4 linked regions of the Drosophila melanogaster genome follow. The protein of the gene in region 2 purifies or fractionates together with the protein of the main gene of each other region. This does not show direct contact. Each region holds a gene or a part of one and is shown on either strand. Other genes may lie near its edges.

Region 1 (7,178 bases), on a different chromosome or scaffold from region 2:
CAAAAAATTGATAAACATCGAGAAAGAGTTCTATATTATAAAAGCTGTCTTTAGCGCCGAAGGGAAAAACACTCCAACGCATATTTTTATACGAATATTTTAAATAATAAATTTATTAATGCGCCATAGCAAAACAAGTTTCGTGCGATCCAAAAATGTATGAATGGTAATTCCAATAAAAGCACACATGTACGGCAAATATTAATGAATAAATTCAGCATTTCGCCAATTGGTGTGCTAATTTGCATTGGAGCCAAGTAACAGAAAATTATAAATTATAAGCAATGGGAATTAATGAGGGGATTTGGCACTTACCTGATCTTGACAAAAGTATCCAAATCCGATGATGCCGGCGATGGCCAGGAAGAGGCAAAACACAATGATTGTTCGGATTTTGGAGCGCGGTTCCATTTTCTTGATTTCATAAACACCACTGGGCAGCAATAAGGCAAAATCACTATCGACTTGAACAGATACGTTCTTATGCATATCCCCGGGCATGTTCCATTCCCTGGCCTCCCTCGAAAATCGCACTAAAGGTCCAACAAGGGTCCACCCGAGTGGAGTCCAAGCGGGTATCCGTATCGGCCTAGCGCAACGAGAACCAGACGCGAATCGGAGGCGAGGCCAACTCAATCATACTTCAGTCGCTGCCCGATAAGAACTCGAAAAATGGGAACACCTTCGCCCATTGCACTTGGCGCGGAAATGGGTTTTCCTTGTCTCTCGGCTTTCAGTGCCTGCAAATGGAGTAAGAGTGAAAAACGGTTAGAAACCTATTAGTTTTGGGAGCACTACAAAAGCAACACCGTTTCCGATTAGTTACCACTTGACCATGCCGATAAAGCGGTCTGTCAAATTGTCTAGCCCTTATCTAGCCACTTACTTAGTAGCTGAAAGCTCTTCAGGGGAAAATCAAAAATAGTTTTTAAGAACCTAAATCTATGGCAGACTGATAAGAAGTTCACAATTAAAACGTACATACATAGTTAATTGGACTTTCTATTTTTTTGTTAGGGTCAAAAACTGATAAGCAGGCGGTGAAGTTGATTTATCGTTTAATCTGACCCTATTTTAATTGCAAATCTATTAGTAAGTATTCAAGACGGGCGTGAATAACAAACGTTTGTGCAATAACAAATTTATCTTTATTTGTGTGGGAAATCTTAAATTAAATTTCCACGCGCGAATGCGATCTGCAAATGTATAGCGTAACGATAAAATACATAAATCAACCAATAATGACGCAATAGTGGAAAGTGAATGGCGGAGCCGAAAGCAATGCATTTAGTATACCCTTAATCAATTAAAAATACGTTTAAATACGTTTATTATTTAAAGCAAAAAACCTACATCCGTACATGATAATACGTGCAATTACTCAAATAATAACTTATTATAGTTAAAAAATAGTTTGTACTTATTTCATTTAATATTTAAATTATCTAGTGATTCTTTATTTATAAGAACATATTGTAGTTCAGTTATAAAAATAGTTATCAATAATATGGTAAATATAATGAATGAACAGCCTTTGTTGTATGGGTGATTATTATCACAAGTCGCTTTATCTGGCTTCGATATTGTTTATATGTGATAAACCCGATTGGAAAATGCGTAACATATTAGGGTTTGAATGATATTGACTACATGCGAGTAAGTTGCATTTAGGTAGGGTATTTAAATGTACAAACACCCAACTAAAATAACTGGCGATCGGCAGTCGGAGTGACGCCCAAGCATAACTGGTGCCTTATATTTATGTAGGCGCTTTTTACTTCACGATCGGTGCTTCTGTAGCGATCACAATTATTGTAAACAAATGGAAAAGTTGCTTATTGGCAAATTGGACTAACAGAGAGACAAGAAAAAAAAGGCAGATGTGGCGAAACATGTTGCCAGGCAACAATAACAAAAAAGCATGCATGCTGTGCACACATGGCCGTTTAATTCACTTCTCTGTACTCTAAACTATACTTAAACCATGCTAATTGCCTACCCAAATTATCAGGTTTTTCGAGGCAGTGACGTCAGGGCAAGGAGTATAATTATAATAATAGAATCAAACGATTTAGCAACATTGCAGTAAAAAAAAACAGAAGCAAAGGGGAGCAACAAAAACAGAGAGAGGGCAAAATAAGAGAGAGGACAACCAGACAGAGCGAGATGCCAAACAACAGCTGTTCTTCTTGCCAGATGCGAAATGGGCAATTTAATGAAATTTATCTAGATTTCACTCACTTTTCACTTGCCAAACGTCGTGTTTGTGCACTTTTCACAATTGTCGCGGCGTCACACGTTTATTTATTTACATTTCTCTGCGTTTCAGGCGCTCGCACGCTCAATTAGCGCGCTTTCCGCTTTGTGCCACACATTCTGTGCCAGCCACAAAAAAGCCCGCAATTCGCACTTTCATGTGTTTTCGGCTATTTCTGCGATCGTTTTTCCTGCACTTGCACTGCTCAATAGCTAATGTTTAGTTAATTGACACTTTCTAAGCGTTTTGCGTATATTTTTTACGAATTATTTTGGCAAAACGACGCGGTACCAGCGTCAACGTCCGCATTCTTCAAAATCGGCGAATGAACTGAACAAAACGAACTGCGCAAGTTGGGCAATAGGAACAGCTGACCGCGCTGCCAGACTGCCGAACGGAAACTCGCTGCGAGAGTCTGGCAGCACTTGCAACCATCGATATAAACTATTGGTAACGAATATTTAAAGAATTAACTTTATAGTTCCATTGAAAATACATACATAAAACAACTATAATTATGATACCTAACATAAAACATCGTAATATCTTATTTATAGTTATCTTTTGTATGCAATATTCAATTTTAAGTTAATTAGATAAACACCAAACGTTTTTTTATTTGTGAAAATAGAAAAAGAATTCAATAGAAACAAGTTTTCAAGGCAATCTGCATATTCTTAAATCCAACTTTATGGGCACTTTTGAATATTCATTTATTTTGCAGCCCTAGCAATCGCTGAGCGATAACCATAAGTTGACTATCGATAGCAGCAGAGCGATATGCAAAACAAACGAAAAAAGTAAAAGAGCGGTGTAAAGCAGACAACATAGTTTACATTTTTTGCAACAAGTTTTTCAACTTAAAGCCAACTCCCATCGTCCAATGGAGGTGGACCAGATTCCCCTGGCCGACGTGGTCTTCGTCATCGAGGGCAGCGCCATCAACGGAGCCTACATCAACGAACTAAAGACCAACTACATCCTGCCGACTTTGGAGCACTTCACCACTGGCTCCATCGACGAGCGGGAATACCTGATTGCGGAGCGCTTTGCCACTCTGTACGGTATTGTGGTCTACCGTACAGCGGCCAATCTGCTGGAGCCAGTTTGTTCAACCTATGGTCCCTTTCTGCAGCCCCAAAAAGTGATGGAGACGATCGAAAGATTGCCACTAGTGGGAGGCGGAATGGAGTCCTGTGCCCACATGGCCGAAGGATTTGCTGCGGCCCACGGCTGTTTTGATGACATCAGCGAAAGGCGCCAGTTGCTCGATCAGACCAGCGTCCAGAGGCACTGCATTCTCATCTGCAACAGTCCGCCGTACCAGATGCCCACAACGGAGTCGTGGAAGTATCCGGGCAAATCATGTGAGCAGCTGGCGGCGCTCTTCAACGAGCGCAAAATCAATCTCTCCATTATTGCGCCACGCAAGATGCCGGTGTTGTTCAAACTTTTCATGAAGGCCGACGGAGATCAGCCCATTACGAGCAAAAACTATGCCAAGAACATAAGACACCTAGTGCTTCTAAAGGGATACAGCCTCAAGGAGAGAGCACCTAGTCCCAACAGCATGGCGGCCCAAATGGCTGCACCCAATGCGGCACAGGCTACAGTGCAGCAGCAACAACAACAGCAACAAAATCAAGCTGGTCAGCAACAACAAGGGCAGGGCATGCCCATGGACACCACTCCAGCCCAGCAGCAGCAACAGCAACAACAACAGCAGCAGCAACAGCAACAACAAGGCAATCCTCAGCAGCAGGTCATGAACATGAACACGATGCAGCAACAGCAGCCCGGTCCAAATCCCCCAGCGGGCTTACTCAATCCACAGCAGCAGCAGCAACTATTGCAGCAGCAGCAGCAGAATCAATTCGTTTCCAATCAAATGCAGAATCAGAACTTCCAGCAAAACGTGGGACCCGGCCAAAACCGCTGGATGTATCCCAACCAGCCTGGTCAGGCGCGTCCGCCCTTCATGCAGGGAGCAGGCAATGTGGGCGGTGTGGGCCAAGGCGGCGGCATGCAACAGAATCCAAATTCTGCTCTGATATCGCGCATTAATGCGCCGCCGCCGAACCAAACTGTGACCTCGCTGCAGCAGCAGCAACAGCAGCAGGCGCAGCAGCAGCAGCAGCAGCAACAACAGGCCCAACAGCAGCAGCAACAAAGGATGCAGATGCTGAGCCAGCAGCAGATGCTAAATCACCAGCAGTTGCAGCAGCAACAGCAACTGGCCCAGCAACAGCAACAGCAGCAGCAAGGACAGCAACAGCAGCAGGTAAATCCCAATGCAGGAAACAATATGATGCCGGCTAGCAATGCCGGCAACATGTCTAATCCGCAGCAGCAGCAACAACAAGTAGGACAACAGTCGAATCCGCAGCAGCAGGGCAATCCGCAGCAGCAACAGCAGGGAAATTCGCAGCAGGAGCAGGCCTCCTTGAGGGAAAAGATATGGACCGGAGTGCTGGAGTGGTCAGAGAAGCCAAAGTCCGATCAACAGAAGATTCCCCATACACTCCAGTGTACCGTGTGCACCAACATCAAAGATGGCGAGCCCGAGATCAAGGCTGAGAACTGGCCGCCCAAGCTGTTGATGCAGCTAATGCCCAAGCACCTAGTTGGCAATATTGGTGGGCAGTTTCTCAAGGACTCGAAAATGGTTGTTTTTCGACCCACTCCAGGAGAGGCACTCGATTCGCTGGCCAAGATGATGACCTCCGGCTATGCTGGCTGCGTCCACTTCTCCTCCATCCCCAACTCACCAGCCTGTGACCTTAAGGTTCTCATCCTACTCTACACGCCCGATCGCAACGCTTTTCTGGGCTTCATTCCCAATAATCAGGCAATGTTTGTGGAACGTCTGCGCAAAGTCATACAGCAAAAGCAGCACGGCAACATGCAACAGCAGCAGCAACAGCAGCAAATGATGCAGCAGCAAGGCAAGTCGCCCATGGAGCTGCAGCAGCAACAGCAACAACAACAACAGCAGCAACAGATGCAACAGGATAACTCGCAGCAGCAACACTACAACCAGTTCCAACTCAATATGCAGATGGGTGGTGGAGGTCCTGGCGGCGGACCTGGTCCCGGTCCCGGCGGCATGCCCATGCAACAGAATCAAATGCAGATGAACATGATGCAGCAACAGCGAATGCCACTGGGCGTAGGTGTTGGCGTGGGTGTTGGTCCCGGTGGCGTGCCCAATCCAAACCTCCAGCAGCAGTTGCAACAAGTGGCGCCAAACGTCGCCGCAATGCAGCAGCAGCAGGCGCAACAGCAGCAGCAGCGCATGGTGCGTCCCATGATGAGCAACAACAACCCGGGGCTGCGCCAGCTCTTGCAGCACCAGACCACGCCAGGCAATCAGTTCCGGCCGCAAATGGGTGGCCAGAATCCCAATCAAATGGGAGCAGGCGGTCCAATGGTCGGCAATCGCAACTTTGACGACGGAAACTATGAGTTCATGTAGGCTACTTAAGAGTATCGTATAAAAAACCAGAATTAAGACAGTAAAATATTTTATAAAATCCAACTGCAAGTCTTTTTTGGGGTAGTGGCAAAATCTATTTCCCAAAATCGAAATATTAATTTCTCCATTTTCATAACATTTCGTTTATTTAATTAGTAAGAATCAAGGGAAATCCGAATTTGCACAAGACTTATATTAATCACAGAACATAATCTCCGAGAAAGTCCACTAGTTTGCTCCACCGCCGCCGCCCCCCGAGGATGCGGAACTTGCACTTCCAGCGCTAGCGGCAAACACCTTGCGAAGATTCTGCAAGATGCTGAACAGAACCGTTCCCGCGCTGCCCAACGTTTCCAGAACATCGAATCCGGTGCTGTCGATGGCTGTCTCCCGATCCTCCTCCGTTTCGATGGCCGGGGAGCTGATGTTCCCGCCATTGTGGTGAGTTTCGTGGACGCCATGGTGTCCAATCAGCCGATGAGTATTGCTCTTCACATGGGAGTCGTTCACGCCGCCACCGCCAACTGTGTTTATCAGGTGCTTCACCGGCTCCAGGACCGGAATATTTAGCTTAATGCGATGCCATGCATCCGCAGTTTCGGTGAAGCCCTCATGCTGCTCGCCAGTGGCCTTCATCTCATCATCCAGCTGGTTTCGCTCGCTGACCGGATCGTCGTCCGTCTCCAGGGACAGCTCCAGACTCATGTTTCCCTTACCAGGCAGTTGCAACAAACTGCCGAAGAGCTGTTGCAGATGCGCCGAGTTGGTGGCCTCCGCCTCATTCTGCTCGAAATCGAACTCTTCACGTACTCCCGACTTGGGCTTCTGGTTCACAAAGCTGGTCACATGCAGCATTCCATTCTTGGTGCCAGAATCACTGGAGTTGGTGGGCTTGGCGGACGTCGTCGTCGTCGTCGTCGTCAGCAGTAGCAGCCACAAAAACTGCAGATACATTCGGAGAAATGGAATCTATAATTGGCGCTTAATGACCGGCTGCACGTACGTTAATGAATATTGAGTATGACCGGTAATAAGGCTTTCTATATTCAAATCCCAACGCGCACGCGTCACTGGACCTTGAATTTGGTTGAATAAGATATGGCTGCTTTACAAATCAAAGATGAGGTTTCTAAGTTATGATATGTGCCCATCTATACACTTAGAGAAAAAACCGTTCTCAAAGATCTCGATTTGAAAATTTTGATCTCAAAATTCTGCCAAGATTGAATTATGCTTCGATAGAGATCGATCCATTCTTAGATTACAATTGACTTTGCTCTCATTTTGTCAGTCTTTCCATTACGTTCCTTTTACACAATCATAAACCTGATACTTCTTCCCTCTGAAAATATTAAAATTGAGATCGTTTTCGTCTCGAAATCAAGAAGAAATCTTCTCATGATTTATGATAAATGCCACTGAGTGACGTTCTTAATTTTTCTGGGT
Region 2 (9,528 bases):
CTGAGTCAGTGTTGGGTAAACGGACATTTTTCGAACTTCCAGATGATTCTATGACGTGTTTTTCGGTTGCGCGCGCTGCCTACTTTCCATTTGAAAAGCAACGAAGTTCGAAACGACTAGTAAATGTTTTTTTTATTTCGCGCTAGATCCAAAAACAAGGTAATTGGCGTATTTTCTAAAAACATTGTACATGGTAAATAATAAACTATGGCAAATTGGGCGACTAGGTGCTGTTACTTGTCCATAAAACAAGAAAACTCTAAAAATTCTATAGTGTATATATAGGGTCCCAGAAGAATGGGACAACATTACCTGCTTTGGCATGACTTAACAGACAGTAATGGTTTGTATAAATTCATATGTAGTTTGTTTCATCGAGATCACAATCACAGTATAAATTGTACAAGACATCGTTAAGCTCATAATACTCTTAACACCTCTAGGCTCTCGCTCTGCGGAGAGTTACAGGTACTTTTCAAATCGTAGACTTGATTTAACAAGGTGTAATTGCAATTCGGGATTAGTGGGACATGATCTTAGTCGAGTATCGTTTACAAAATGTATATACAAATTAAAAGTAAAGCTAGAATTTAAAAAAGTAAAATGTAGATGATACAATTGGAGGCCTAAGTTGTGTAAAATGAGCCGCGAGTAGTACAGTATCTCGGGGGGAACTGAATGACTTTGTTCTTTTCTTGGAACCTATGTTAGGAACTACATCAGCTTGTAACGTTAGTATAGTTAACTACGATAAATGCGATTGGGACGTTTCTCTTTTAGAGTAATTTAGTCTAAAAATCATGGTATTTGGGCTAAAAGCACACACTCGACTTATTCTATACAAACATATGGTTTTCTCCATCCGTTTATGCGGATGGATTCAGTCGGCATTTGAATGCTACAAAAATTCACTCACACTCAGTCTCAAGCACACAATTATGATCGACTTAAGTTTAATTGTTAAATAAAAACAAGATTAAACAAATGCGTGGAGAATGTTTACAACAAAAGATCGCGAAATATTTGAAAATACATTAGGGATAACGATTTTCGGCCTCAGTCGGCAAAATGATTTTGTTAATATAACAATTTCCATATTAATTGCACGCACAAGTGCAATAATTTTGTAATTTTTACATACAATTTTGTTGTACAATTATAAAGTCATTAACTAATAAGATGTTTTTTTTTTTATATAATAAGAGTACAAGAAGACACACAATACAAGACAGTTTTGGTAAAGGTTTTTTCTGGAACAATTCTTTTTTTCATACGTTTATGTTTTATTAAATAAACCGAAATTTTAGAGTACAATAATATTGAAATTCTGCTGCGAAGACGGCGGTGCAGGAATGCTAGTTGTTTGTTGTTTGATGATCCAGTGCGCATCAGTGTCTATAATGTCCCACGCTGACTGTCCCCTTGGCTTCTCCATCGATCCTCCTGCTACTGCTGCTGACTTCGGTCTGCCGGTCTTGATGTTGCCAGGATTCTGTGATGTGAAGTTGGATGGATCCAGAGGCAGTCCCCGTCCGTCGTTGGTAAAATCTTGTCAGCATTTCGGCTTATTATAGTATGTCTAGAAGAACTATGCTGTTTGCCATATTCATATCCTACGTATTGGTAATGTTAGATACAAATCGAAAATCTGTTAATTGTGGCTAGCTTGTCATCCCACCAAGCTGCGGCTTATTGTTTGTTAATAGAGTGTGTTTAGTATATCTGTGTTGCATCTTTACACTTGATTACGGGTCCACTGGCGATGGTTCCAACTTCCACTTACGGCAGTCAATGCCGGGAACGGTGCTCCTCACGCCTGTCGCGATCACGCTCCCGCTCGCGGTCGCGGTCTCGATCGCGGTCGCGTCGCTCACGGTCCGAGGAGCGGTACCTTTCCCGATCCTCGTAGTAGCGCTTCGATGATGGCGCCTCCGCTGCTTCGGCGACTACGGGTTCCGGCGACTTTCGTGGACGCACCGATCGGCTGTTTTCGGATTATGGGATTGAAATTAACGCAAGGTTTTCATTTCGAGCTTAAAAATAATTCGCTTAATTGTCACCGTATATTGTTGCACAAAAGAGCAAAAATATTCTGATGAGCCTAAACAGTTACAATTCAAGCTAACATCTTTACAGAAAGCTTTTAATGAAAATAAAAAATTTGAAAAGCCTATACCTTAAAAATACTACCTTTTAATAAATTATACATTTTTCCAAATATTTTAAAATAAAGTTTCGTCTGACTTTACAAATCTACACTTGTTTTTACAGCAAAAGTAAAAAATCTGTTTACGAGTGAATAAATTATGAGTTCTATGCTATTTAAATGAAGCACTATGATTAATTAATCAGCAACTTTTAAATGAGACAGTGAAGCGAATTTTTAGAAGTAGAACGTCTTTACCTGTCATCCCTGTAGTGATCTGGAGCCTGGCGTTCACGTTCTCTACTGCGAGACCTCTCTCTGTAGCTTCTAGAAAATGAATACGGAATTAAGTGTGAGGCTTACACATGGTAGAACCAAAACTTACCCGCCATCCCGTTCACGCTCACGATCCCGATCGCGTTCCCGCTCCCGAGATCGCTCGCGGTACCTGGACGTGGAACGCTCACGTCGCTGTCGGCTGCGATGAGATCGCTCCCTCGACCGCGACCTTTCGCGCCTATTGTAGCTCTTGGCCTCGATGCCATGCAACGTGTCCTGCAGCGAGCTAATCAGAATTTTGCATCGCTCATCGTGCGCTACCTTGGACTGTTTGATCAGTGAAATGGCTGTGACCAGTGTCTCGATGGCGCTCGAGTATTCACCAGCGGCTGCATCAGAAACAGCTCTGAAAATAAATTAGCATAAAAAGGGAATTGATATTTGATCAACAAAGTAATTAATTATCTAGATAATTTATTAATTAGACCGGATCTGAGTCATAGTTTCAATAATTGGAATTTTCTATGAATTCGACTTAGGAATGGGTTAGTTTTTAAATAATAACTACAAGTTTTGACCTCGTTAAAGAAAACATTTTAAAAACCTTTGCACTCACCTGGCGATCGCCGAACTGCTGACTGTGCGATTTCTGCTCATCACCTCCTCGAACTCCACCTCCGTCAGTTGCGGACCCATCTGCTGCGGATCGGGGAAGGGACCTGGTGGCTTACCCTGCGGTGGCGGCCACGGACCACGTGGTCCATGCTGGGCGAACTGGGGTGGCGGTCCATGCTGTGGCGTCATGTTCATGCCCTGTTGCGGTGGCATATTCATGCCTGGCTGTGGACCTGGTGCTCCGTGGGGCGGGCCACCCATGCCCGGATGCTGGGCAGGACCACCAGGCTGGTTAAAGAATGCTGGGTTCACGTGGGGTGCGGGTGCGCCGTGTGGTCCGCCCGGACCTGGTGCTGGGGGAAGGCCACGTGGCGGACCTTGCGGCGGGAAACCACCGTGCATGGGTGGACGACGCCAGTCGGGACCTGCCGGACCCCTGACGGGCATGCCCATTGGGCCTCCTTGGAACTGCAAGGCAGAAGAGACAAGATTATTTACTGTTCCCAATGATCGGATCGAATCGGTTTCTAAGCTATAGTATGAGTTTGTGTTGCATGGGTTGATCTGTGGAATTACTGAAAATGTTCTGAATACATCGCTTAAGACTAAGTTAACTAAGGTTAACTTAAGTTGGGTTAGTCTTCCTTTATCTCGCCTTCTCTCTGGCTTCGTTAGAATTATATTATGGCATAGATACAAAGAGGACTCAGTGCTTTGGGGATTGTTACCATTGGTCGCTGCGGTGGTCCGTTCGGTGGACCTGGTCGCGGCCCGCCTGGCCGCTGACCTGGCCATTGGCCCTGCGCTGACGGATACCGGGGTGGCGGCTGTTGGTTCCCCATGAGCCCGCCTTGCGGATGCATTGGCGGCTATATTAATACGAATTACGTTTTATATTGAAGTAGTAGTTGTTGTTGTGGGGTAGAAGTGTGCGTAAGCGTTGTCAAAGACATGGAATAGAACATAAATCGTAATACATAAACATTTTGTATAACAATAGCGGGCCATTATACACAATTACAAATACTAGGGGGGGAAATACATTAACGCAATTAAATCAAAAGTATATATTATTTGAGTGGAACCAGGAAGGCACTGCTCTTGATTTTAATTTATTACATGTGCTTTTTTTTGTTGAAAGTCTATGACTAGAGTACAAAAGGAGTAAAAAGAATACAAACTGCCTTAGGCCGAGGAGTGCTACAAAAAATTGCTCTGAAATTACTTGTGAATTAATAGAAGTAAAGAATAAGAATAGTACTTAAAGACATAAATAAAAATTCTTAGAAACTTAATTTGTACGACAGCTTTAGTTTAGTTTATAAATTATCAAATGAAATACTAACAAGAGATCGGATATTTCAGATTGTTTATATCTCACATCTAAAGTCGTTATTGTTTTCTCTAAATTGTAAAACTAAGTTTCTACGTTTAATTTACAAAAGAATATCGAACAACTGAAGTAGAACATATTCGTTTATAAACTATACATGAAGTCGTATATTTAGGGTTTCTAATTTTACCTAAGTAAGCAAATTTTGCATTCAGAACAATTTTGATGGAAATAGGAAATAATGTAGGAATGTAGAAACAAAACAAATTAGAACCGAGCGATATTTCTACAAACGATGAGACCTCTTGGGGCCATGTGGGGCTAAAACAGTGGTTGTGTACCTGCATTCGTGGAGGTCCTGAGTTGGGTCCGCCCACCTGGGGAACCTGCGACATGTGCTGCGGTCGGTACTGGCCCGGCTGCATGATGGAGTTCATCCCGCGCGGTGGATGTCCCGGTGGTCCACCTCCTTGCGGTCCTCCTGGATGTCCGGTGGGCATTGGCCCGCCACCCATACTGGGTGGTGCCGGACCCCTGGGCGGTCCATTCTGCTGCGGCGGCGGCACTGGACGCGTCTTTTGCAGACTCTCGAATTGGGTGAGTGCCTGCTTGCTGGGATACGTGACCACCGGCGCTTGGCCGTGCATCTCCTTCTTGGGCAGCTGGTCGAGCACGGCGCGCAGGCTAGATTCTGAGCCGAGGGAGATTACACTGAAGCCCTTCGACTGACCGTTGGCCCTGTTCTCAAAAAACTTCACTTCCTGTAGATCACTCACGCCAATGTCTCGCAGCGAATTGGCGATATCCTGGTCAGTGGTCCACCATGTGAGATTGCCCACATAAAGCTGGTAGCGGCGATTCATGGTCGGAGTGAGGCTACCACTGCTCTGATGGTACACCCCATTGGGACCACCGGAATTCCGTTCGCCGGGTTCCCCGGAGCCTGGCCCTGCGGCTCCATCTGCGGAGGGCGTTCCACCGCCCCCGCCACCTGAGGCGGCCGATTCGGTGGGACCGCCTATGTCATCGTATAGGTCTACTCCATCGCCTCCAAATTCGTCCTGTGCGGATAAAGCAAAGTAATTAACAAGTGGGTCAAACTGTTGTGGGAATCCCGTAAAATCGTTAAAAATAAACGATCAAGTCTTGTTTTTTTTACAAATTCGATTTTACTCTATTTTTACTTTAGAATTTTTAGAATGTATAGTTATTGGGATTCGTACAATTCTCTACATTTCCATGGCTAAAGAAATTAAAAAAAATTACGTTTCATTTTTATATAAATATAATATCCCTGCACTCAGTTCCTAGAACCCTACTTTACAAGGTACCAAGTGGTCGAGTTCGCCCAAGACGCCGTTCTACCCCCTAACGCAATTCTTTCGGACATCGATCCACCCTACTGTATACATACACACGCGGCTTGCAGAGCGACTGCCTTTTTCCCATGGCTTACCTGAGCCTGCCCGGCAAAGTCCTTGTCGAGGTCCTCCGCGTACAGATCCAAGACCACGTCGGCCATGTTGAGCCGGAAAAGTTGCTATTCCTAGGCGTAATTACTGATTTTTCACCGCTTTTCCCAATTTTCGCACGCACACTAAGACACTCGCCAATCTTTCCGTCTCTGTCCCACTTGCACTCGCGCCTCGTACAGTTTCTTTTTTTTTGCGGGGGAGGGGGAAGCCGGAGCAGAAACCGGCGTGCTGCTGCGCGATTTAGCCGGGTAATCGCGCCCGCTGCACAATTAATTGATTAATTGCTTTGGCGCGTTGTTTTCCGTTGGGTGAATTCTGTAACTATTTACATTCTACTCGTGCACGAACTAGTTTCTTCAATCTTGCGAAAAAATTGTCAGCGTAAAATGGCGGAGCGGTGCAGTGTGACTGTAAAGCTGAAATGTGGAAAACCTATGCGGTATATTTTTGCTCGCATACTAGAAAATACCACATCCTGTTTGGGGTATTCCGCAATTTGACAGTTAATGAGAATACAACTACGATAAAATATATTTAATGAATAGAATTTAATTAGATGTGTTTGTTACCTAAATCGCTTTATTATTACCATAAAATAATCACAAATACTTGACATCAATTTCCAATTTGACTGTGGTCGTAGCGTGGACACAAACCATTGAAAATATATCGACTTCTATCGAATTTTGAATTTTAAAACCAACCGTTAGAACTTTCTTGAAATGTGTAATAAGTTCATTAGGTTCTTTGTTATTAAAAATCGACATGTGAAAATACTTAACATTCATTACAACACCCATAACAGGCATATCTTAATTTAAATATGCATACTTCTAATAAATTTGCCTTTTTAGGGGACCACCATCACACACACATTAATTTGCATAAATTGTTAATGCTGCCCAAAAACTATAGCCATGCATATATTAGATTTGCAGGTCCAAATAGACGCTGACCGTGTCACTTGCACAACTAGACAGCGCACTTGGCCAGAGCTCCAAATTTAGAATTTAAATATAGCAATTAAGCTGATTTATGCGGCCCGTCTGCAGGTTACAATAATTGCCGCTAACAACTCGGCTCTCCGAAATCTTCGAACTTGCTGGTGGCTGGGAACCGAGGAGATTGTGGCGCCGTCGACTTGGCCACTCGTATGCAAATGCGCGGTGAAAAATTGGGGGAAAAAAAAACCGAGGCAGCATTTTTTAGTCGGGCCTGTGAAAAAAAAGACACATATCCCGAAATCTAGTGCATGATTAGCCATGTTATTCGTGTATCTGATGTTTTTTCATTTTTCTTCTCGTATTTGGGCAGTAGTCCACCTGTTGGTATTTAGTTTTTAACTTTGGCTCTTTGACTCCCATATGTTAGTTGCGTTAATGAATTGCCTTAAATGTCAATTACCACTGGCTTTTATCGTCCAATCTGAACGGACGGCAATTATATTTGCTGCTCTCGCCTCATGCGATTGTGTGTTTAATTAACAAGAGTAATTAAATGGGTAATTACGATCTTTACAGCAATCAATCGATTTTTAAATGCTTCAGCGAATAAAGCTATTGCAGATTGGATTTTCGCGATTTGCATATGTGGAAATGTGTTTCCAATTCAAGGTGGGCGGTTCTTCAAGAGCAATCACGCAGATGGAAATCGACGGATGTTGGTGGCGAGGGTGCAGTCAATTGAAATTCTCGGCTAATCGCTGACATTTTTGGGACAGAATTGGGGCTCAAAGGTGCAACATTGAAGGGGAGGAGACTTACGCACGTAGTATTTATCTTAAATATACTGCACGCTTTTAAAATAACCAACAATAATAGGATAAAAATCAATTGCTATGAAAATATTGCGCATACGCCGTGTGGCCTTTGGCTGGCTATCATAAAAGTCGTATAAGTGTTATTGAATGTTTCCGATCACTTAGATCTACATAATGGCTACCACTCATATCAATTGCCCCCCATCGACCATTTCGGACGTGCGTAAGTCATGTCAAAAATTTATTGCGTGACCATTGGCTGGGATACTTTATCAAAAAGCGGCGCCGCAGCCTAACAAAGTGCCAACTTGCAACTTCCAAGCTTCCAACTGCCCAGTAGCCGTCGTGCCGCTCCACCACCATCAGTTGGGCAATGGATACGCAAAGAGAACATGCATAAATCTCACACCACAGCCGGCCATCAAGTGCACCTACACAGCAGCAGTCATTCGATGCGATTCGATTCGGTTCGGTCCTGGCCAAGTGTCGAGGTGCCAATTAAGGCTACACACTGCTGGGTATTTTGACCATATCATACTGCAAACTGCGAACTGTAAGCTACAAACTGCACTGCATGGATAATTTTTTTAACTCCGTGGAGCGACCGAAATGGACCAGGCCGAGTGTCATTTGATTCTTGTGGCAGGCTGGCGCGTTTCATGCGCCTTTGACATGCAACCAGGGTCCAAATCCAAAGCTCCATGCCGAGTCGGCACAGTTTACACGAATCACCAGCAAACAAAACAAAAAAAAAAAAAGAAAAAAAAAACCACCAGAAACCGACAAAAAGCGAACAAAAAACAAAAAAAAAAAAAAACATTACGAAATTTGTCGTCTGACAAAAAGCTTAGAAAACGATATAAATTAAATTTACGTTTTTGGTGCTCATTAAATGTTCACAACTTTGGGCCCAGCGAGGCATTTTCGGTTGCAAAATTAGAACATCGCTTTGGGAAATCGCCGCCAAAATGCAGTTAATTGTTTTTCGCTCTTGTTAAAGTTTTCTACTCGGTTTTCTCGCGATTGTCACAAATTGAATAATGTCTCAATTGCGCACCGCTGCTGTTTTGGAGAACATTCAAACATTGTTTGCCAACTGTTTGCAATTGTTTGCCGCCATACGAGGCGACTAATTACGTGGCCATATTGTATAATCGTGCCGTTTGATATATGTATGTATATCCTGGCACAGCAGCTGGCCGATCCAGCTCCAGATCCAGATTCAGCTCCAGAAAAAAAAGTGAAAGGCAAACATGCAACGCCCACTTCTCGCCAAGTGGCCAAGTATAACTCGACCATTATATAATTGTTACCATTTGACTAATTTGCCTTTTGGCCAGATAAATACCGAGCGAATAACGAGGAAAGCTGCTCTAGAGAGGCGCAAAAAAGGGGCTCAAAAATCTGGCCAACTGCTAGCCCCATTTGCCATGTCACGGTACTCCAGCCAGTGGCAATCGCACCACTGACCAACTTATCCAAAACCGGCTTCCAGCCGAGGCAGAGCCACTCCGAATATGGGTCAGCTACGTGAGTTAGTCCATGCACCCGACGCAATCTTAATTGCCAATCATCAATGGAAGCGCACGGGATGGAAATTAAGAGGAAAATCGAATTTAAGTTCCGCATTGGGGTTATACATACATATGTATCTGCACAAACAAGAACCCATAAAAAAAGCAGAGTCAAATTCAAGTAAGCAACAACCGAGGTGAGATCCTGGTTTTTAATTCGTTTCTACAGCCTGGGATGCATTCTGCCTGAAAAATGGCGAGTTTTGTGGCAGCGACTCAGCTTGTTGAACCACTTGATGTAGCCCCTTTTTGTGTGGATCTGCAAAGGTCTCTGAAAATCCCTGGGTGCAGCTGGCTTTACAGAATCTAAGAGGATATGTTTAATACAAATTGTTGAAGATATTCCA
Region 3 (8,149 bases), on a different chromosome or scaffold from region 2:
TGAGTCTGAGCGATCTGTGCCCGCCTTATATAAGCGGTATATGGACAGATGGTTTGCAGCAAAAGCAATTTGCATTTCAAATGCACCTGCACTTCCCACATGACGTCATCGATAGTTATATACGTATATATGAGACGGGGGTGGGTGGGGGCAAAAGTCGACGCCTATCACCGATATTGGGGCTGGCAATTATCTAGTGTCCGAGAGCGTGTAATTTCAATATTCCGGGCGCGATAAGCGCACAATTGAAATTGCCACCGCATTGGAACTTGTATCCAATGTTCGACCAGCTAGTATCAGCTAAGATGATAAGGCGTTCGCTCTTATCAGCCAGATTTTATAGCAACTAATTCCGAACGGGCTTAGACTCATGCCCACACTGTTCGTAAATAGGTATCGTTCGAGTTTTCCATGGCAAAAGTAATTTATCTGAACAGTGTCGTTCAACAAAAACAACTTTATTAAATGATTTAACTTGACGGACTGTTAAATCGCTTATTAAAGTTAATATCATATAGGTATTTACAGTTGAATGTACATGTTTTAGTACTATCTTAATTGTATTTAATTCAAAACTAATTATCGATTGGTTAATTTTTATCAATTTTATTTTCCAGTCACCCCCAACCAAATCGAGCGACTTTACTCGCGCTTCACCTCCTTGGATCGCAATGATTGCGGAACCTTGTCCCGGGAGGATCTGATGCGTATCCCGGAACTGGCCATTAATCCGCTGTGCGAGCGGATAGTTCATTCCTTTTTCGCTGAGAGCAACGACGATCGGGTGAACTTCCGGCAGTTCATGAACGTCCTGGCCCACTTCCGGCCGCTGAGGGATAACAAGCAAAGTAAGCTCAACAGCCGGGAGGAGAAGCTGAAGTTCGCCTTCAAGATGTACGATCTGGATGACGATGGTGTGATCAGCAGAGACGAGCTGCTCTCCATCCTGCACATGATGGTCGGGGCGAACATTAGCCAGGACCAGTTGGTCAGCATTGCGGAGAGGACGATCCTGGAGGCGGACCTGTGCTGCCAGGGCAAGATCTCGTTCGAGGACTTCTGCAAAGCTCTGGACCGCACCGACGTGGATCAGAAGATGTCCATACGGTTTCTCAACTAGGCTAGCTGGATGCGGCAATCACGAGGAAAGAGCGACCTTCTTAGTCAGTGTGTACCAAATAGTTTAGGATGCAGTTAGTCGAGAGGCATTCCGGCGGGTTACTGAAAACTCTAATGATTTGAAAGCAGTGGTTGCTATTCTTATTATACCAGTTGTGTTTTCCAACCATTTAGAAGTTTCAATTTAATGAATGAAAATGAAAGTGTCGCAAAGTTTTTTAAACCTGAGTAATTTGCCCAAAGCTTATCGAAGATATTTCATTCAAGTTAAACAAAAAATGCATATGTTTGATCACGGGTGCTAGAGAAATACAGAAAAATATAACCAATTGCTTGGTATCTAAAAGTTAAATGCGTCCGGAAATTTGATCAAATATTTATGATAAAAATATAAATAAATCTTTTGCTGTCTTATATTACAAAAAAATAATTTTTACAAATCTTGTAGGTTTCAGGAACCCGTCGGATTTACTTGTATTAATAGTTGTTATGAAGAATGAAAGAGATGCTCATTTCATTTTGTTAATGCCTTGTTTTTATAATTACAAACTCATTCCGCTCAACGTAAATTCTAATTCAGCTGCTTACGAATAAAAGCATCGCGGATTAACACACTTATTGTTGAACATAATTTGAATAGTTTATTGCGTTATAAGACGATCAATTGGAATAAGTGGTTGTATATTCGTAATTTCATTGCCTGGACCATTGATTCCAGGTGTCGTTCGCCTTCTTCGACTTCGCCAGGGAAGCAAGCGCCTGAAACTAGAGCCAGAGTCGATTTATGTGGTGGTGGACACAGCCAGCTTCTTGAGGTGCTCCATGAACAGCTGCAGCGAAACGTCATCCGTGAGCACTGGAGCCCCGCCATCCTGTCGAGATAATGTCCGGAAAATTAGTCATGCGATGGGTGGGTGGGATCGTGCCAAGTGGGGAGGGGAGGATGAATGAAAAAGGGATACAAGCACCTAGAAGGGTCCAACACCAAAAGCCACTTATATATAAATCATGTTTGAAATTATTAAAAACAATATGAAAAAATAGGAACAGACAAAATCTTTGCTTAGATTAAGCCGTGTGGGGTTGGCCATCTTAGATTTATTGCAAAATCCAAAACACTTATTTTGGACTTATAGCTATCAAGAGCAAAGGACATATCCAATTTCCAAAGATTTTTTACCCGCCCCTTAAATTTCAAATATCCACCTTTCCACCAGTTTAAAAGTTGAAAATTAAACAAATATGTACTACCGTGACTTGACCGATGGGCGCCTGCGATTGACAAAGGAGCGGTTACGGATACGGGTACGGATTATACAATGAGAGAAACAAAACCAACATAAAACGAGATTGAGATTTCGATTGAGATTAAATTTTCGATGACGCCAAATGGAGCGCTGCAAAGATCAATCAAATGTGGCCAGTTGATGGCGCTGGCTGCGAGACTCACCTGCCCGTAGGCGTACATGTTGTTGTGCGTCTGCGAGGGATTGACCTTGGACAGCAGGAAGCGGGCCTGGGATCCGCCGTGCTCCGTATCGATGTAGCGAGGCATGGGGAAGCGCGTCTGAAGAATCTCTTGCGCGTCGTCCACCGGTGCTTGCAGCAGCTGCTTGAAGTTCTCGTACTCTGGCATGTCCTGGTATTTGAGGGCTCTCCACTGGGCGATGGTCTCGCCGTGGTAAATCAGAATCTGAAAGAACGTGTCCATCAGGAGGATGCGATCCGCCTGGATGGAAGCCGTATCGAGGAGGACCGGTTCTGGAGGGCCGTTGAACGAGTAGCTGTAGAGAATAGGCTGGATCATGATCAGCGATTGGGTGAGGTCCTCGCGCATTAGCATGTGTCGATAGAATGTGGTCTCGTCGGGCGAGTTGTTGAAGACCTGCAGGAACTGCGAGCGGCGCAGGTGGTACATGAATTGCGGGAATAGGCTGAAGTTTTGCGACAGCCTGAAGCTGTTGGGATCGTCCTTTGAGTACTCGCCGAACTTTTGGCACTGTAAAAGGAAAGCATTTACAATACTAATTAATTGGGCACGAGTAATTTTGCACATTGAAAACTTACCAGACGAATCAACTGACGATCGACCCAGCGCAGAATGTCGGGTCCTTCGTCAGTCTCCGCACGATAGACGACCATACGGGCCATCAGAACTGCGGCGGCCTCCTGATCGAAGCCAGCGCTGATGTGGTGCACGTTCGAGGTGGCATCGGCCCAACTGAAAAACAAACAGATTGAACCACGTAAGTAAACTCTGGGCTGATTTATGCCAACACATACTTTCTGGCCAGTGTGGTAACTCGGATTCGCCGCTGTCCACTTGGGTGCTGGTACTGCGTAATGAACTGTATGCAGCCACGCCCGCCCTGCGGAATGGGGGCTGCATGCTGGTTGACCACCTCAAAGAAGTAGGCTACGGTGGAGCTGGGATTCAATGTGCACAGCTTCCACTGCACCGTGTTGCCCATGCCGATCTCCACATCCGACACCGACGGGCTCTTCACATTCAGCGACACACACGAGCCGATGCCACCGGAGATCTTCAACTCGCGCGAGCACTTCACCTCCAGCGTGGCATTGAAGGCCATCTTCAAGTCGTTGCGACCATCACGTGCGAAGACGCGTTGGAATGTCTGCTTGAAGAGCGATGAGTTGAACGAATCGCCCATGACCATGTGGCCGCCAGTGGAGTTGCATAGCTGCTTCATCTCCAGCAGTCCGGTTTGGTCCAGGGCACACGAGTATATGTCGACACTATGCCCGTTGGTGGCTGCCCGCAATGCCAAAGCATCATAGTGTTTGATAGCCTTCTTCATAAACCGCACGTTGTCCTTGTGGATGTCGTGATGCGAACGAATCGGGTGCTTCAGCTCGTCGTCGACCACCTGGCCGGGGCCCTGGGAGCAAGGGCCACCCACGAAGGTCATAATGCGACCGCCCGTATTGGGATAAGTGCACTCCAACAGGCCCACCGCAATAGATAGGGCGGCACCAGTGGAGCGCAGGTAACGCTTGCCCTGCGGCACCGGCCAAGGATCGCGTTGCAACTCGCTAAGCAGATCGCCCAGCGCCGCGTCGCACTGGCCGATCGGTTGCAAGAAGCGATGGGCGGGCGGCACAGGGGCCGCCGCTCCAGCCGGCTGGCCGGGCAGGTGCTGCTGTTGCTGCGGCCCCGGAGCCGCTCCACGCCCAATTCCGAGCATATCCTGCACCTGCTTGGCAGTCAGGTCCTTGGTACCACGAAACACATAGCTCTTAGAGCAGCCTTCCGCGCCCAGCTCGTGCACCTGTATCATTTTTCCGAAGGTTATCAGACCCACGAGAGCGTTGGTTGGCAGCAGACTTAGCGACATTTGCAACGAATCCTTGAGGGCGTCCAGCTCCTCCTCGTCCATGCAGGTGTCAACCAGGAAAATGAAGACGGGCGGCATGGTGGGGGCCCGTGTAATAGTATACTCAATAGTGCTGAATCCCGGAATCAGCTCCGCTGGTTGGTGCTGCTCGGAAATGGCAGCATATTGAGGGGGAAACTGGAATAATGACTGTCATAAACTGCCGCAGAGAGTCTAAAGATCACCATTGAGCTCACCGGATTGCGCTGAAAACAGAAGTTGCACACCCACAACTTAGCACGGTAGTCCACCTGGCACAGTGGATTCAGGATGGCCCTGCAGTTGCTGCGAGTGCACAAGACCGGCTCATATTGAATAGGCGGTAGGTCGGGGCGCTCCTTCAAAGGCTGGTAAAGACAAGCTAGGGGCACCACCAGCCGACTGGCTTCGATGCGACTTGAGGGCCACACATTCCACGTCAGCCGCACTCCGTCGCGGTCCTCGTTCTGCTGGATGAACTCCTCGTAGGTGGTCATCGCCGGAACACTTAAATGTAATACTTAAATCGGAAAAACCTCTGTTAGACCTCTGCCAATTGGAAAAATCGGTCGGTCAGGCCACGTCACGGATTGACAGCGAGTCGTGACACCTTTCGTGCTGGCGACGGCCAAAATACTCACGCGAAAGTAAACAAATTCGCGAGATGAGTCTTTAAGAGGCTCTTCAAATCAAAGCACTCACTCTGGAAACAATTTATACAAACGTACAAAACGTAGAAACCTAGACTACGAACTATTACAGAATTTTAAGTGCAAACGTTGCATGTTAGGGAAGACAGTTTTCAAGCGATACTATCGCATGCGCCCCATGCGATTGAATGAATGTTTTAATATGAGAAAAAAAGGGTGAAAATAAATATGTTTTGAAAATGATAAATAAAACAAGGTTCGCCCATAATTTTTTCAGTTAATTTTCTTAATGATATATATTGTTATTCAAGAAGTATATATAATATAAATAAATATAAATCGTATTCCTAGAAAAGCCCCTTATCGTTTTTCTTATCGCCCCAACTAAATTTTAACATTAAGTTTTTACCCAACACCCCATGTATCGATTGCTATCGATGGCCAAACTATCGCACCGTGGAGTGCATCCCTGGTGCAGCTGTTTACTCGGCATTGTGTGTGTGTGCGTGTATTTTTTAGAGTTGAGTTGTTTCTAAGATGGCGACGAAAAAAACGCGTCTTCTTATGTGAAAAATGCAATCATAACAACTCGAGTTTTCTGCTAATAAATGTGCGCTAGTTTGGAACAGGACCATTGAAAAACAGTGCTAAGCGTGTGCCGAGTGTTTTGCATGTGAAAGTTTTGGTGCGGTAGCGTAGTGAAAATGGCCACAAATATGTATCGAGTCGGAGGTGAGAAAAATTTTCGCGTACTCGCTTTTCTATCATCTTTCGTTATCGGCGCCGCCGTTTCACGGTGTGCGTGTTCGCTTCTGCATATGTGTGTGTGTGTCCAATGTGTGCGTATGCGTGTGTGTTGTGTCTGAGGAGGCTTTCCAACAATAACGAAAGTGCATTTTAATTGCCGAAAACCCTTTAGTGGGAGACCCGACGCACGTGTATGTGTGTGTGTGTGCGTGTATTATCAATCTCAAGAACAATCCGTCGAAAAGGAGAGACCTTTTCTATTTTTTTTAACTTCTTTGAAGGAGCCCCCTGCTGCTCTTGTGTCGCAGCTGCAGCAAGTGTTTTCGACGTGTTCCAACCGATAAGCATTAACTTATGCCCTAAGTGTATGCGTGTGTGTGTATTCTAGGGCTGGGGAACTGAATTGCATTTGCATTTGGATTTGGTTTTGCCGAATTGTGATCTCTCCAGCGTGTGTGTTTGTTTGACTATGTGCGAAAGTGTATCTCACTTTTGGGCTCACCGCCCACCCGCCTTTTTGTGTTTTCATATGCTAATGAGCTTTTGAGCATCTCCCCCCATCTCACGCCTCCCACTCCTCACCCTGCCTGACGCACTTTCTGTTAGCCATCTCGCTCGCGCTCGAGCGGTGACGTTATTGTGTTGTCTTCACCTGATTTTCGCAAGTGTGTGGGTGTGTGTGCTCTTTCGAAATGCAAATAAGCTCGGTCGGATACGCAAGCTTTCAATTAACGGAATCAAAATAAATATTAATGGCATATATACTTGTCGAATTATCTGCTCTTTATCGCCGAGAACTTTTTGTCTCCATCGGCGTTTTTTGTTAGCCGTTTTTAATGGCCACGCACACAGTTACACACCTTCGGCAATGCTTTCTCGCTGCCTCCACACTTTCTTTTTCATCTCTCTTCATCTATCTACCCATCTATCTGTGTATCTGCATCCCAAAATGTAGCAGAAGTGCACACGACGTTTGTATCTATGTATGTATGTACATACAGATAAACGGAATTTCTTTTATTTTTTATAATAGTCAACGACAGGTTCCGCTGCAGTTGTTGTAGGTATAAAGTTATATGGATGGATAGACCCATATGTATTTAATTGCGCTTTAGCTGGTAGTGGTGGTCGCACTTAGGTGGATGCGTGTATAGGTGTATGTGTGCGCTTACCTGTGACGTATTAATGGAGTTGCAGCCCCCCACCCTTCCATGCCCTTTTCTGACCCTTTTGCATCAGCCACCTCAAAAACTGTTTTTTTTTCAGACTATGTTTACGTTGAGACAACGCCGAACAGTCCCTACTTAATACGACGCATCGAGGAGCTGAACAAAAACCAAACCGGCAATGTGGAAGCGAAGGTCATGTGCTTCTACCGCCGCCGGGATCTGCCCAATCCGCTCGTGCAATTGGCCGACAAACACCAACGTGAGTAGAGAAACCCTGTTCCCTCGAAACCGCATCCATATCTTGCGTTACGTTACCTCTAAGTGTGTATATTTATTGTCAACAAAGTGAGGTTATGTTGCCAAGAGTCGTTGTCGTGGCCTTCAAACAAGTTAAGAGTTAAAACCTGACGACCAGATCTGCTAAGCACATGCCCACCACAAAACAACAACAAAATGAACCCGTAAGGGGCACCACTGTGTGCGCTGTGTCAAGGCATGTGGAAAGCGAAGCCACCCACCGAACCACCCAACCTCCCACAGTGCCACCCCATCCCGCAATCCTAGTCAAACTTCCTGAGCAACAAGAACCGCAATGACAACAACTGTGAGGGCGGAGCGAAAACGGATTTCGTCCAGCATCCGACTCATCCACATAAACAGGCAGTGGAACCTTCAAACAACCTGCCACATCAACTGGCAGTGTAACCACTCTACTTCGAACCAGAAGCACCATTGATCTACGTTCCAGTAGCGCAATTTGAATTATTCGTGTCGCAAATTAGAAAAAGCATTTAGCAAATAGTCTAAAAAGATATTGGTCATAGAAACTAGGTGTTTTGGGAACTGGTAATGAACATAAACACGCATCGTGGTGCGGAAATAGCCTGTAAATTATTAAGTTCAACCTTAGGCATACATATGTACATACGTTAAGGTGCCACCGGTTTGCTCTAATGATGCTCGACTGTAATGAGCTGGGCTGCACTATACTACCCGTAATGCGGTTGTTGCTGTTTTCGGTTGCTGCTAGGCGGCGCCGACGTCAATGTGAATGTGATACTTGGTTCGGCTGTAGGTAGACTACAGTAGT
Region 4 (6,672 bases), 5.7 Mb from region 2:
AACTAAGAGTAGGCATACCTGCTGTGGTTGTTGTTGCAGCTGCTGTTGCTGGGGAAATTGACCAATAATCTGCTGTTGTTGTTGTTGTGGAACCTGCTGCTGTTGCTGAACATTGGTTGGTGGACGTTGTATGGTTTGTTGAATTATCCGCACTTGACCACCAGCTCCAAGTGCTATTTGCTGCTGTTGTGTAAACTGAACTTGTTGCGGTTGTTGTTGTTGAACTTGGTGCTGTTGCGGAAGCTGTTGCTGCTGCTGTGCCGGTGGCAGTTGCTGCACTTGAGTAATCTGTTGTTGCTGCTGCGGCTGCTGTTGTGCTTGTTGTTGAACGTGCAACAATTGCTGCTGCTTCTGCAAGGCCAAAGACATATGACTTTGAATGATTTGTTGTCCTTGAGCCGTGGATGTGTTTATAACATGGCGCTGAGTGATGACTTGTTGCTGTTGTCCAGGCTGTGGCTGTTGCTGCGTCAGGACCTGCTGTTGTTGCTGCTGCTGTTGTTGTTGCTGCTGCTGCTGCTGTTGTTGTTGTTGTTGCTGCTGTATTTGCTAAAAAGAAGTAATCATTAATTTCCGGTAAAAAATAATATATGTTCTTTATTTTACTTGAGCGTTTTGTTGGTTTGGCTGCTGTTGCAAGGTGGGGGTAGTAGGTTGCTGTTGCAGTGGCGATTGTCGCGGAGAAGGGGTGTGCTGCTGTTGTGGTTGCTGCTGCTGCTGCTGTTGCGGTTGCTGTGCCATTTGCTGCTGCTGGGGCTGCGGTGCCATTTGTTGTTGCTGTTGCATCTGTTGTTGCTGCTTCAATTGTTGCTGCCTCATTATCAACGAGTCCTGATTGCTGCTCAATGCAGATCGACTGAGCACTTGAGCTACCTGAACGGGGTCCGTTGGGTCGATAGGCTTCTGCTGGGAGAATGATTGCTGCGGCTGAGTGGCTTGTCCAGGAACCACCTGATGCTGATGCAGCTTTGCCTGCATGGGTGGAGTTTGAGAAATCTGGGGCGATTGCGGAGAAATATGCTGGGGACTCTGCTGTTGCTGTTGTTGCTGCTGTTGGGCCAATTGTTGTTGCTGCTGCAATTGCATGCGCTGCTGTTGATGGACGGGCTGTTGAAAGGGCTGCATCTGTTGCTGCTGTTGCGGCGACATCATAGATTGTGGTTGAGGTTGTTGTGGCGAGCCCATCATGTGCTGTTGTCGATTCTGTTGCATTTGCTGTTGCTGGCGCAAATGTTGTTGCTGGGCGTTTTGCGGCGAGGGCGGAGGTGGCGGAGTCATTTGGGGAGCTGGGGATTGCAGTTGTCGCGGCGATTGTGGCGGCAACATATTGCTAGTTGCATGATGCTGCTGTTGCTGCAACGATGGGGATGGCGTACTTGGTGGCATTACCGGCGAACGGTTTTGCACCATCCGAGGCGACTGTTGTTGTTGTAGATTCTGTTGCTGTTGTTGCTGCTGCATTTGCATCTGTAATTGCTGCTGCTGCTGCATAACTTGTTGCAGCTGTTGTTGAATTTGTCTCTGTTGCTGCTGCTGTTGCGGCGTCAATGCTTGTCCGCTTTGCACGATTTGCTGCAATTGCATTTGATTCTGGTTCAAAATTTGTTGCTGCCGCATTAGATGTTGGTGTATGATTTGCGGCGAAACCGGCACAGATTGTTGTTGTGGCTGCTGTTGCTGAACAACTTGCTGCTGAACAATTTGCTGTTGCTGAACTATCTGCTGCTGCTGTACCATCGTTTGCTGCTGGCCCACTTGTTGCTGCACCACCTGTTGCTGTTGAACTATCTGCTGGTGGTGCTGAGGGGATTGCACGGGCTGCGGCGTTGTAGATGGTGTACGTGGTGTCTGCCGGCCTGTTGGAGTCGTTGGCAGTCGGGGCGACTGCTGTTGCTGAGGAATTTGTTGTGGATGTTGTTGAGAAAGTTGCTGTGGAAGTTGCTGTGCGATTTGTTGCGGGTGTTGTTGCGCAAGCTGCTGTTGAAGTGGTTGAGGATGCGGCTGTTGCTCCTGCTGCATTAGTTGCATTTGGATTTGTTGCTGTTGCTGAGACTGCTGCGTTGTTTTCATTTGTCTCTGCTGTAGGATATTTTTGATTTGCTGCTGGTTTTGTGGTTGCTGCTGCAGGTTGGCGGGGATAATCTTCTGCTGCTGAATTATTAATTGTTGTTGATGCTGCGGGTGTGGTGCAGGAGTAGGTGCTTGAGGACCACCTTGCTGTAACTGGTGAGGGGATTGTTGTGCTGGCTGTTGGGGTTGTGGCTGTGGGCGCACAAAGACCACCTGCTGCTGTGCGGGTACGGGCAGCTGTTGCTGCTGTATTTGTTCAGCTGAAGCCTGCAGCTGAGACTTAATGCTAGCGATGCTCTTGGCAGCTACGCTGTCCTCGCCAAAGCCAAGGATGTCAGATAGGGCAGAAGTAGCCGTTGCCTGTTGCTGGATAATCTGCTGTTGATGTTGCTGCTGCTGCTGCTGCTGCTGTTGTTGTTGTTGTTGTTGTTGTTGTTGTTGTTGTTGTTGTTGTTGTTGTTGCTGCTGCTGCTGCTGCTGCTGTTGTTGCTGCATCTGGTGTTGGTGCTGCAATTGCTGCTGCTGCTGAATTTGTTGCTGCTGCGTAGCCTGCTGCTTTTGTGTTCGCTGCTTTTCAATGGGCTTCAGCAGTCTCGGATGATACGTCTCCACGGGCATGCAGTTTTTGTACTTAAGGCTATCTGTCACCCAGTCGGGCGTCACAATAATGATGGCATTCTTGGGCAGGGCCAGCGCCTTGTTGTAGATGCCACCGTTGGCTGCACCGCACACCAGATGCGTGTTGGTGGCCCCAAAGCTGTGCGTGACTACGGCACCGTGGTATGTCAGCATGGCGTAAAGACGCCTTCGATCCCCTGCCACTACATTGGTGATGGCCACCCGAATGCCGCGCATCAACCGCATTTGATTCGGACTCGGGTCGAAAGCCCGTGTCGAGGCCATTCGGCCTAGCTTGGCGCTGTGCACGATCCATTGCTCCGTTACGGGAATTGCACTGTAGAGGTCCAGGTTCATGGACAGCTCCTCCTCGTTGTAGTTGGTGGCGCATATCATGTGGGTGATTTGGTCCGACAGGAACAGTTTCGATTGAGCGCCACCGCTCTTAAGAAAGCGTTCGATCTGCAAGGCAAAGGCATAATAATTATTTATTACATTACTTGATTTAAACAGTATATATAAAAGATATATGTATGTGACCAAATAAGAATTCTTTTTTCAAGGGTGCCAAATATGTTGCTTCCGTTGGTAGAGGAGAACCAAAACAAAAATCAGTTGATTTAGCACCAATACAAACTCCAGTACACAAACACACAAACACGGCAATTTGCCGGCAACTTTTATGGCGCGCATTTGCCAAGGTGCCCGGGTTACCCTGTCCGCCCGCGCTCCAACCCACCCTGTGAGACGCACGCACACCCGCTCACACAAACACACACACACGTACGCACAATGCAAGTACAGCAACAGCAAACGAAAGATTCGCTTTGCAGCTTTTTACCTCCTCGTCCAGATTTCCCAGCACAAAGTATATCACATCCTCGAACAGTTTGTCGCTTATCTTGAGGTTCTCCATGGCGCCGCCGTTTGTTTGACCACTTGCACTTCTCTGGCGGCGCTAATTTCACTTTTGCTTTTGTTATTGCTGCTGCCGCGGCTGCTCGTGGGCATCTACATTGCAGCGTGTTTTCTCGTCTTTCCGCTGATCTTGGCCATTTGCGAACTTCGAAAAACGGTGTGCGATGCGGTGCTTATCGCGTAGCACATAACAAATGCAATTTGGAACCGAAAAATTGCATTTAAAGATCACTTTTTCTCTTTTATCACCGCTGCGCCTTCCGCCTAGAGTTGGTACAAAACACTGTTTATGCGATACTATCGATAGTTCCAGAAGTGTGGCAATATGGATGCTTAATCTGCTGGTATCGATTGGTGGAAAACTTGGATATTTGATTGATTTCATTTGTACTGTGGTCCAAAAAGCGATTTTATTGGTTAAAACTTTTTTAATTGGGCCTAAAACTCACTTTGCAAGTTCGATTAACTTTTAACTAAAACACGATGTTCGTATGAAAATATATGAACCCATCTATTTGTATTAAATATTGTGTATTTCCCACCTATTTTGGTGATTTCATTTCGTTCCCGTCCAATTTGAACAACCAATTACCATACCACACCGCTCGAAGGAACGTTTCCTAGTTAATTAGACTCCACTCCGGGCACTTATAATTTAAGTAAACATTTGTATGGCACATTTCCGATTCAGTTGTTGGGTTAGCGCCCCAGGAAATCAACACATTTATAAGTATACGTACATACATTTATTTTAGCTCTGCTTGATTTACAAATTCATTTTAACTCGACTGTTTGGTTTTTGCATCAAAAATTTAGCTCTGCAAGCAGCAGTACCTATGTTATTATCAATTAGTTGGTGAAATTCCGTCAACTGCTTATAGAATGAATGCAAAAAAAAAAATATAAAAACATTTTCCATAGAACATGGTGAACTTTTAAAAACTTTTGATGGAATCCCAGTAATGTACGAGAACGTGTGTGTGTGTGTGGCTGGCTGCTCCAACTTAAATTTATTATGCTCGTAATACTTACAACTATGTACGACGAGGGTAAGTTAGTTTAATGTTACAAAGATAGAGATATATATAACTGTTGCAATAAATTTCGCGCTGCTCGGCTCGCCATCTTCGCTTCCCCGGCCTGAGAGATGGACTGATGAGTTGATCTTGAGATTGATTGGCCAGTGCGGATGGCGATTGAATTTAACGGGGGAAACACGGAACATGGTGCTAGAATTTCAGTTTAAACTGTCGCGAAATGCCCGCACAATCCGGCAGCAGCCATCTTAGCATTAGGTTTTTCATTAAAATTAGGTATAGAGCATTTGAAGTGGGGAACGGAGAACTGGCTGCACTTGAGGTTGTGGATACAGTAGAGGTGAGTGTTGAGTGGTGAGTAAATTAGCTCGTCGCCGGGAACTTGTTACAGGGTTGGATGATCGAAGTCTTGCGCGCCGGCACGGTTTCGGGCGTGGGAATGGCCTCCCCGGTGGTCACCTTGTTGGCAAAGACCTGCTTGACGCCGCCACCCTTCTGCTTGGCCATCTGGTAATCGCCCGAGTCGAAGAACTTTTGCTGTGGGAAGGATATGAAGGAATACATATTAGATTTCTCTTATATAATCAAATAGCTTTTTAGAACTAAAACGGAGATATCTTCCAAATGCAAACTTAATGTAACAATCTGATTTCGTTTACCAGATCATCAAGTTGATATAAACTATGCGCTGTGATTATTGAGTTTCATTGATTTCAGAAAGCAATTGCCAAATAGTATGGATCTTAGAATAGAGGAAACATGAATTGTTATTTTCCTTTAAACAACGGGTACTAAATACTACTAAATAATATTATTATTATTATTTTTAATTGATATTCATATTACAGGGTTTGGGTATCCCCGAACACCGAAAGTTAGTAAACTTATTGTTTGATTGTTTTCGAATTGTGCTAATCACTTACCCCCTTCTGCAGCCTTTTCTGGAGGAAGGCCGAGTGTCCGCCCGGCACGCGCATTCCGCTGGGATACTTGGACTTGAGTTTCTCCTCCTCGATCTTCTCGAGATCCGTGAGGTTAGCCTGCTCGGTGGTCTCGGTGTCCTGGGGCGTGGTGGCCGGGCTGTTGCTGTTTTCTTCCGCGGAGCTCATTGTGTGCTGCCTACGGGTGATAGTACTGGGATTAGCCAAGGTGCGACAATGGCGACACGGGAGAACTTAAATGGCAAAAGGAGGGGGAGGCGGCGGAATTGCAGAGGGGCAGCGAAAATCGGAGGCGCGCAAAATGCCAAGAGAAAATTGCATTTCATTACACACACACACAGACACAAACGCGCTAGGCTCGCACAAACACTGGCACGTAAATCCAGGGCAGGCGCACGCACACTTGCTAATATATGTGGACGCGAAATATTATAGTAATAATCGGATGTGCAAATATTGTTTTAATTTTTTATATACACCAACCACTACGCAGGCGATAAGGCTTGTGTGTGCGTGCGTTTGCTCGTCGATGCGGTTGTTTGTGTGCAAGGCGTAGTTGCTCACCTTTTGCCTGTAAAATTTGACGATTAACTGTTGTTTTCCTTCTCCTTTTGTTCTTCACCCGTCTATCAGTGTGTCTCCTTCCCTGGAATCGAATCGGTTTTGCCAATTAGCGTGCCGACTTAGCGGAGAGTGCTGCTATTCGCTAACGATTCCGGCAAATGATGTGCTGTTCGACTAAATCAGGCTGTTACACGAGCTATGTATTTGGTGTGTGGAGAGTGACTGAAATTCCCAAGGCGACTCAATTGTAAAATTATTTTATCACTTTACAGACGCAAGACTGTCTTCGATAGCAGAAGGCGTTATTTCGGAACATATCGTTTATCGAAACTACAGTTGCTCAATACTGAACTGTCCAGCTTCGAGTAGCTGTGGCTCAAACCATTGTTGTCATCGATAAGCAATTGCAATTTTATTTGTTTGCTTAAAAAATTAAAATATAAACTACGAGGATCAAATAAACATACATATTCCCAATATGTTAGCGAAAAAATATGCTCAAAAAAAGATGTTTAAACACAATG

What was found.
Region 1: the proteins of Cpsf6 (region 2) and MED25 purify together in Drosophila melanogaster (affinity purification with mass spectrometry, with the first as the bait; one large-scale study listed by BioGRID). This does not show direct contact.
Region 3: the proteins of Cpsf6 (region 2) and Sec23 purify together in Drosophila melanogaster (affinity purification with mass spectrometry, with the first as the bait; one large-scale study listed by BioGRID). This does not show direct contact.
Region 4: the proteins of Cpsf6 (region 2) and Ptip purify together in Drosophila melanogaster (affinity purification with mass spectrometry, with the first as the bait; one large-scale study listed by BioGRID). This does not show direct contact.

Annotation. Positions count from the first base shown.
Region 1 is NT_033777.3:20,005,920-20,013,097, forward strand, and holds MED25 (mediator complex subunit 25), read left to right. Parts: upstream 1-3,027; 5' UTR 3,028-3,140; coding exon 3,141-5,732; 3' UTR 5,733-5,793; downstream 5,794-7,178. Other genes in the region: Hs6st (heparan sulfate 6-O-sulfotransferase), read right to left, coding at 316-501; CG17190 (uncharacterized protein), read right to left, coding at 5,961-6,674.
Region 2 is NT_037436.4:8,309,243-8,318,770, forward strand, and holds Cpsf6 (cleavage and polyadenylation specific factor 6), read right to left. Parts: upstream 6,261-9,528; 5' UTR 5,896-6,260; coding exon 5,830-5,895; intron 5,435-5,829; coding exon 4,715-5,434; intron 3,910-4,714; coding exon 3,769-3,909; intron 3,509-3,768; coding exon 3,042-3,508; intron 2,832-3,041; coding exon 2,532-2,831; intron 2,474-2,531; coding exon 2,405-2,473; intron 1,985-2,404; coding exon 1,789-1,984; 3' UTR 1,251-1,788; downstream 1-1,250. Other genes in the region: CG43059 (uncharacterized protein), read right to left, coding at 9,345-9,487. UniProt on the Drosophila melanogaster protein: May play a role in pre-mRNA 3'-processing.
Region 3 is NT_033777.3:5,646,223-5,654,371, reverse strand, and holds Sec23 (secretory 23), read right to left. Parts: upstream 5,308-8,149; 5' UTR 5,135-5,307; exon of another isoform or gene 5,014-5,134; 5' UTR 4,991-5,013; coding exon 4,712-4,990; intron 4,653-4,711; coding exon 3,403-4,652; intron 3,341-3,402; coding exon 3,187-3,340; intron 3,119-3,186; coding exon 2,570-3,118; intron 2,392-2,569; coding exon 2,368-2,391; intron 1,992-2,367; coding exon 1,902-1,991; 3' UTR 1,743-1,901; downstream 1-1,742. Other genes in the region: elm (ethanol sensitive with low memory), read left to right, coding at 618-1,120; MTA1-like (metastasis associated 1-like), read left to right, coding at 5,848-5,875, 7,157-7,318.
Region 4 is NT_037436.4:14,025,241-14,031,912, forward strand, and holds the start of Ptip (PAX transcription activation domain interacting protein), read right to left. Parts: upstream 3,882-6,672; 5' UTR 3,605-3,881; coding exon 3,530-3,604; intron 3,151-3,529; coding exon 607-3,150; intron 550-606; coding exon 19-549; intron 1-18. Other genes in the region: endos (endosulfine), read right to left, coding at 5,007-5,180, 5,567-5,752.